2 linked regions of the Schizosaccharomyces pombe genome follow. The protein of the gene in region 1 interacts with the protein of each later gene in a biochemical or structural test. Each region holds a gene or a part of one and is shown on either strand. Other genes may lie near its edges. The genes, in order: arp3 and wsp1.

Region 1 (3,926 bases):
CGCCCACCTTCTTATGAATCATTACCTGCTCCGCAAAATGATGAAGTTTAGTTTTTTTTATGATGACTACTTGATTGCTTCTGCTTTCTCTCAACAAATTCGTTGAGTACTTGTACACTTTCCATTTTATCCATCGTTCTTGAATAATAAAGTATTTATCAGGCGGAACCCATCGGTTTCATCCGTTTTCTTTTTTTTTCTCCTTTTACGTTATTAGTAATCACTATATTATTATTCTCATGGTTCTCATCATTATTATTTGGACAAGTTAATTATATACATCTTATTTGATATTGCTCAATGAAAAAGCCTGGAAACATAGCAAACCTCAAGTCTATTTCTTCTAAGGCTAATGCCTGCTCCATTAAACTTTTCATTTTAATCAGTAAATCCTATAGACGCAAAACTCATGATATATTTCATTAAAGAGAATTTCCAAAAATTTGGTACCTACGAGCAATGGAAGCACCATATTCTTCGTAATCTGCTTTGGTATGGCAATAGGATCCGAATTCAGGCTAAACATGTCAGTAAATCTCTACGGGTAAACTAAAAAATATACAAACATAAGATAATGACATACCGTTTGTGCTAGTAAACTGCCGCCAAACCAAACCGCATTTCGTTGACGTTTATGGGAGATAACATTAACGTCTACACCACCACTTTTAGCACCGGAGAGCATTTCACTGCGGTGAATACGCTCGTCAACAATCCGCTTGAGATCTCTTTGTAAGCGGTTGCCAAAGTTCTTAAACAAAGTACTACCACCAGAAAGGACAATGTTTTTATAAAGGCCTTTACGAACGTCAATGGGTGAGCTCTGTACGACGTTGTCCACAAGTTCCGGAAGAGGGGTCAAAAAATCGGAAGAAGCAATCTCAGGATTAAAAAATATTTCAGGTGCGAGGAAGCGTTCAAATCCTACATCAATAGTAGTAGAGTGTCCAGTAATTGATTCAGATGCATATTTTAAATAACGGTCGGGCTCACGATCAAATCTACTAAACTCCTTAACAATGTCCGGACAAACGTAGCAACATTCCTCTTTAATTCTTTCAGCAGTTTTGAGACTTGAATCAGGTTCATTGCGGTCACGTAATAAGGATTGAACAAAGTACGTAACATCACGACCAGCAAGTGGCATTGTCTTAATGGAAGAGCCGATAACATATCCTTCGGCCTAAGGTTTATCAGTTAGTAAAATTCGGGCATATATATATGCATTTAATGTTCAAAACTGTTTATCTAAGCTCGTATTAGATTTTTTATACATACAACAGGAATAATATGAGTAACGCCATCACCAGAGTCAACAACAGTACCGGTCAACGAACGATCAGTAACTTTTGAAGATGTCCAAGAGGCGGCAAGAGCCAAAACCGCTTGAACAGCAATGTAGAGTCCTGCACAGTTGAACGACTCAAACATAATCTCTGCAGTATTTTCACGGTTTTCAGGTGGATTCAAAGGAGGTTCGGTCAAAAGAAAATAATGGTCCTCTGGTTCACAACGTAAATATTTAAAGAGAGACTGTTGCCAAAAACGCTCCATATGGTCCCAATTTTCTATTTGTCCATGACGGATAGGATAGTCCAAAGAATATCCAGCAGACGCCTTTTTCAATGCATCGTTTCCAATAAAAAAGTCCAAGTCCTCAGTTGCCCTTTTGCTTGAGAGATGCCCACTGCCTTTCGAGGCCATGTAAGAAGGCTTTGATGAAACAGCCGGCCCTGAAGAAGCACCCGCAGAACGCGTCGCAATAACAGTGGGGAATACATAAGAAGGAGCATCGTTCCCAGCATAGCTGAAATTAAATTACTGTTAATAAATGCTCAAAAGAGAGATAATAACATCCTAAAACGACTATTACACATACCCAAGCTTGCTATAGCCGGTACCGCTAACAAATAAAGTTAGTAACTGATATTCACGAACAATTTAACTTCGCTACATCAATACTTACTTGTCCATTATAATGGGAACATTAAACGAAGCCATTGCTATTATTTTATGAAAAGGTAAGCGAAAGAGAAGTTGGTTCCAGTTGAAACTCTTAATATCGTCTCGCAACGGTCACCGATGTCGAATTACGTGGGTTAACGGGAAACATATGGTAATTTACGAGATGAGCCGATTACGTTAAATGCGAATGCCCGTATACAACCCACTTTGGATATCTTTACTAAGGCCAAATTAATTTACACAAAAAATTAAATATGTATTTCTTCAATACCAGTACCACCGGTTAAAATTACCAAGTTGCTAAGCTAGAAGACGCTTCTTGCTACTAGAAAATTAAATATTAACGATCTTGCGTTAATCCCTTTTCAGTAATAAAACTAACCACGTTGGTATTATCAAACAATTACAAATGTAGATAGCTATGTCGAATTTTTAAACAAATCATAGTATTAAAGACCTTATGCTTTAAACCTCTTAGCCTTAAACATTTTTAAGCTGTAATCATGGATTTTATATTCACTCATGTAGCAATTATTACTTGTGAACCAAACCATAAACTGTTATTTTAATGCTATTAATTAATGCTCTCATTTGCAATTTCTATTTCAGTTTGCATTCACAATCACAGTTAGGAACCGGACATATTGTATGAGTTGAAAACCATTCTGAAGCATGAGATGCGTGAGCTCCATGGCCACAATTTAGACAAAAGCTAAACCATAACCCAAATCTAGATTTCTGAAGATTAACTTCTTTGACATAGTTTTGAGGTTTTTGAGAAAAGTCATCTTTCTGAGGAACATCTTCATCTCCTAAAGAAAACCCACATACAGAGCACTTTGGAAGAGGCTGTCCGCAATGAGGACAACTTTTTCCCAAGTGTTTTGCTGGGCCTGCTTTACTGACACCTCGTTGAATTGGCGTTGGTAAATTATTACATTCATTCCTATTGGAGAAAGGAAAAATTGGTTTTCTACAAAAATTGCAGATAATGCGTATAGATGGCTCTGTAGCCTTTCTGGTTATTTCTCCTGTGTGATTTTTTGAGAGTTCTGTCCGAAAGATATCAAACTTTGCACGCTCACGGTAAAGTTTCCAGCGGTTTAGAAGCTCTCTATAACTTTCAGTCCAATCCTCTGCACGTTTATCCAGAAATTTCTTAGGTACCACAAATGCAGCAATCAATGCAGCAGTTTGAACATCGCTTGTATGATCAATGTAGTTCTGCAGAAGTTCCATTCCCAAAGGAGTTAAACCTGTAAGTAACAGGCCTTCTGGGTCGCCTGATTGCACTGTAGTGTGACATAAATCGCACAAATAATTACTCAAATCGTCATCTGGTAAAAAGCGAAGAGCAATTCCAAGACGATCTTTTAATGAGAGAGAAACTTCATCTAATACATCTCTCCAATCGGAGTTGGAAACATACGCAAATATTGCACGTAAGTATGGATCTTCCAATTCTGTACTTAAGTTACGAGACATTTCTTTCCACAATGAGTCACTTCCAAAGTTACTTAAGCCTTGCGATGTAATGTATCCGGCAACTGCTGTGGATATGGTCTTCTCCAGCTCATTCCCACTTGATAATATACGGACTACGTTTTCAATTTTTCCGTGGAAAAGTGCTAACCCAGCGGCTTTTACATGCTCATTCTTGCGAATCAGTCTTCTAATTTCCAACAACAAGTCATCATTTGACATTCCTAATCCACAGGCAAGTAAAGCGAGTTGGCGTAAAGGCCTTTTAGTTTGGATAGACGTAAATATATCTAAATCAAGTCTCTCAATAACATCTCTAGCAAGTCTTAAAATTTTTTTTTCTAAAAATTTGCTTTCTTTTGCTTCAAAAACATCGGACATGCTAGTCAATTCAGTATCCATAAACCAAATACCTAGTGCACCTTGATAGCTGAAATCTGTATCTCCTGTGTCTCCAAACAGTGATTCTTCTGATTGTC
Region 2 (3,926 bases), 4.5 Mb from region 1:
CCGTCTTGTTGAGGCAATTCAGCTATCGAAGCAACAGGCGCGGCGGGCGCAGGAGCTGGAGCTGGAGGAGGAGCTGGTGCAGCGGGAGGCAATGGTGGAGCAGCTGGCATACCAGCGGGTAGAGGAGGAGCAATTGGTGCACTAGGTGGTAGGGGGGGAGCAGCTGGTGCGCCCATAGGTAGAGAAGGTGGTGCACTGGGGGGCAAAGATGGAGGTGCACTAGGAGGAAGAGAAGGAGGTGTAGGGACAGGAGGTGTGCTTGTTCGTGATGCATTACCAAGAGGGGGAAGTGCAGGCGCAGAACGACCAGGAATAGCTGGAGGAGGGGCTGGTGGGTTTGAAACTGCACGAGATGAAGATAAAGGGGGTGGTTGTCTCCCAGTGGAAGGAGCAGACCTTGGAGGAGGTGGAGGAGGAGCAGATCTACCTTGAGGCGGCAAAGGAATTGAGCCAGCAGCATTAGATCTAGGAGGTGGTGGAGGTGGAGGAAGAGACGAGTTAGAAGAACCATTACCAATCGGTGGTTTACCACGATTACGACGGGATGGAGGCGGAGGCGGAGGAGGTCGTTTTTTGTTAGCAGCTAGAGCTGCCGCACTGACTCTTGAAGATGGTGGAGGGAGTGGAGGTTTCGAGGTGGAATTAATAGCAGGATTCATCGAAACAGGAGCGATAGGACGGGGAGGGGAGTTAGGAGGAGAAGAGACAGTTCCATTAGATGGAGGTGGAATTGGGGGAGGAGCAGGTGCAGACAAAGAAGGAACACGCTCTGGGGGACGAGAGGAAGGAATGCTTGGAGGGATGGGAGGTGCAGAAGTACTGGTAGGTGTACCAGCTGATTCATTAAGGTACGCTTTGACGAAATCTGCGTTTTCAGCAATTTGATCCTGGGAAATGCCCATCTTCATTAGAGAATCAATTAAGCTCGGATCAAGCGAATTTAAAAGCTCGGGCTCATTGGGACTTTTAGATCCAACAGCATTATAATTTTCCTTTCCAGGTACAGGAGGAGCAGCTGAGGGAGGTTGGATATTGCTGTTGTTAGGCGCATGTCTAGAAGAACCTTTTCTGGTAATAAATGACAAAACCGGATTCTCAATTGATTCAGGATGGCAACCTTTATCTAAAACCTTTTTGTAAAATTTTTGAGCGTCTGTCTCGTTTGCAAAACTAAAACCTGCTAGGCATTTATCAAGCTCGAAAGAATGAAAAAATGTACGATCTTGGCGATAGTCCATATTTTGATAAAGCTCTTGGTCCCATATTATACCACTATTATTCTAAAACGTTAGAAGGTTATAATTCAATTAAATTGTATACCACTCTTTGTAGTTTGCTTTGAGTATCAAAGCTTCATACACATACCACAACGTCAACCAGTTTAAACCAACAGCATTTTGCTGTTGTATCATAGGACAATACAAGAGCACCACAAAGACCTGTATAATTCCATTTGTTCGGATCAGGATAAGCTACATATAGCTTGACGACGGCTGCTGCAATGATTTTATTTGTGCTTTTAGGTATGTATTTACGGATAGTTGCCTTATCCTCTTGAGTTATAGAGGAAGATGGAGGCATTTGAATTTTCGGATTGTAATGCAATTCAAAAATTGCTGTCTCACAGTGGTATAAGTGGTGTTTTGGTTCCTCCCGTTTGTTAGCATTTTCACTGTAGTTAACAAGCCAATGAGTGATAATTAGTGTAGTATACTATACTACGCTATGTACTATAAAAATTTGCAACGCACTTATTAGCAGCTGGTAAATTTTGCTAATTATATTAACTGTTTATAGATTAATAAAACTTGAGACATTAATTCGGGTTTAATATTTTTTACATTCTACATACTTATCGTCCTCATTGTAAAGAGGTAAATAAAATTTATTCAACCATACGAAGTTTGCTTGTCTCATAATGTTAGTTTATTATAAGATTATTAAAAAAATGACTTAATCATAATCATTAATTATTAGAAAAAAAAGGGAACATTAAGAAAAAGTCATTCGTGATGTTGAGGATAATAAAAAGACTCTCGTCCGGTAGGAGTAGTATAACTACATAAACAAACAGTGCGAACTCAGATGTATGGCTACTTATTAGAATCATCGAATGAAACTGAAGTAACAATACCGGAATTTTTTTTCGAACTTAATGGGTCGTTACATTGTTCGCACATTTCTATATCTGTTGCAAATGATGAACTACTGCTAGTCTCATCATCTGACTTTGCACAAAGTCGTCTCCGTAAAAGGTCAATATCTCTAGGATAAAACAATTTTTGTAAGCAAATATAGGAAAAGCGAGGCAACAAACATAAGGCAATGGTTAAAACAGTAACACACCAAAAGCCAAAAGTTTGACAAGTTCGCGAAGCTGATTTGTGGAAAGCGTAAGAGGGGCCAACTTCTGAATAAATAAATGTCCATATCCAAAATACACCTATGCTGAACATCCAAGTAATAAGTGATATTAAATTCAATCTCTCTTGATTCATCAATATAAAAATGTTGATTACAAAAATAGTAGGAGAGGATATAAAAAGTCCTATGTCTTCTATACACTCGATGTTCCTTCCAGTCCAACTTACAAAATCACCAAACTTAAAAACAAATAGAGCTACCCCAAAGCATACCAATGATTGATATATTCCATCTAGCATGTAAGACCTAAAATAAATATTTAGCAAACAGAAATCTTCAGAGTTATACTTACCAAAATCTCTTTCCGTTCCATTCTAGACCTAAAATTCCCCGTTGGTATAAGCTTGGATTTTTCATTGAAACAGATGCGTCAACGTCCTGGTCAAAACAACCTGCAATAATTACGGGTAGTGATGTGAACAGCAGATTAAAAAGCATCACGTAGGTATAATCAAATATGTAGTTTCCATCAAACTCGTTATAAAATTGATACCAAAAAAGTATAAATGTCCAAATAACATTTTTGTAAAAAAAGAATGAAATCATTTGAGACATTCTTTTATAGTCCCATCGTCCATGAACTAGAAGTAGTCGCCCTAGGAAAGAAAATTGACCGATGGCATAATCCGCCGACATTGAAGCTGCTTGCCCTTCAACGCCTTTTATCCCTACTCCAACGTCGGCTTCTTGAATCATCGAAACATCATTAGCGCCATCTCCAATTGCTAAAGTGACAACATTTAGACTCTTCTTGACTAAAGCAACAACAGCTGCCTTCTGAGAGGGACTAACCCTGCAGCACAAAACTGTCTTACACTGCTTACATAACATTAAAAAAAGAAAAGAGACCTGTTCAGACAAAACAAAGTTCAGGGCATCCCCATCAATAACTATGGCGTGTTTCGGAGATGGCGGACTGTGGTCTTTCAACAAAAATCTGAATTCTTCATCCGTTCCCATGTATCCAAAATTAAAGCATAATGTGTTTCTAATAAAAGCTTCTACTTCTTCTAAGGCACCGAAAGAGTTTGCATCAATTCGAAAAATAGTCATGTTTGGATCAAGAAGATTGCATGAATACCCAATGTTGATTGCCGTTTCTACCTTATCACCAGTCAACACCCACAACTTAATTCCAGCAATAGCCAAAAGAGCGATAGTTTCTGGTACATTCTCTTGAAGTTTATCTTCAATTGCTGTTCCACCGAGTAATTCAAGCTCTTGCTCAATCATCTCTGAAACTTTACTGACCTTTTCGTTCCGTTCATGAATGGCACTATTAGCTTCGTTGAAATTCACTTTCCATTCAAGATAATCTTGCTTATCAATAGTTCGACGAGCGATACATAACGTACGAAATCCTTCGGATGAAAATGAAGCTAAATGCTTCTTCGTCTTTTCAATGATATTGTTTTGTCCGCTGGAAAGCCTTGGAAATATTACCGTATCCGCACCTTTACAAATTAAATGAATTATACCATCCTCATCACGAATTATCACGC

Evidence for each region.
Region 2: the proteins of arp3 (region 1) and wsp1 form a complex in vitro, tested with the Schizosaccharomyces pombe proteins (3 studies listed by BioGRID).

The regions. Positions count from the first base shown.
Region 1 is NC_003424.3:348,552-352,477, reverse strand, and holds arp3 (ARP2/3 actin-organizing complex actin-related protein subunit Arp3), read right to left. Parts: upstream 2,046-3,926; 5' UTR 2,002-2,045; coding exon 1,967-2,001; exon of another isoform or gene 1,904-1,966; coding exon 1,880-1,903; exon of another isoform or gene 1,808-1,879; coding exon 1,279-1,807; exon of another isoform or gene 1,184-1,278; coding exon 584-1,183; exon of another isoform or gene 519-583; coding exon 423-518; 3' UTR 182-422; downstream 1-181. Other genes in the region: SPOM_SPAC630.04C (uncharacterized protein), read left to right, coding at 1-51; GATOR2-SEACAT complex ubiquitin-protein ligase E3 subunit Sea4, read right to left, coding at 2,566-3,926. UniProt on the Schizosaccharomyces pombe protein: Functions as ATP-binding component of the Arp2/3 complex which is involved in regulation of actin polymerization and together with an activating nucleation-promoting factor (NPF) mediates the formation of branched actin networks.
Region 2 is NC_003424.3:4,861,868-4,865,793, forward strand, and holds the start of wsp1 (actin assembly factor), read right to left. Parts: upstream 1,641-3,926; 5' UTR 1,582-1,640; coding exon 1,366-1,581; exon of another isoform or gene 1,281-1,365; coding exon 1-1,280. Other genes in the region: SPOM_SPAC4F10.16C (P-type ATPase), read right to left, coding at 2,094-2,670, 2,717-3,926. UniProt on the Schizosaccharomyces pombe protein: Has a role in regulating actin assembly, so regulating polarized growth.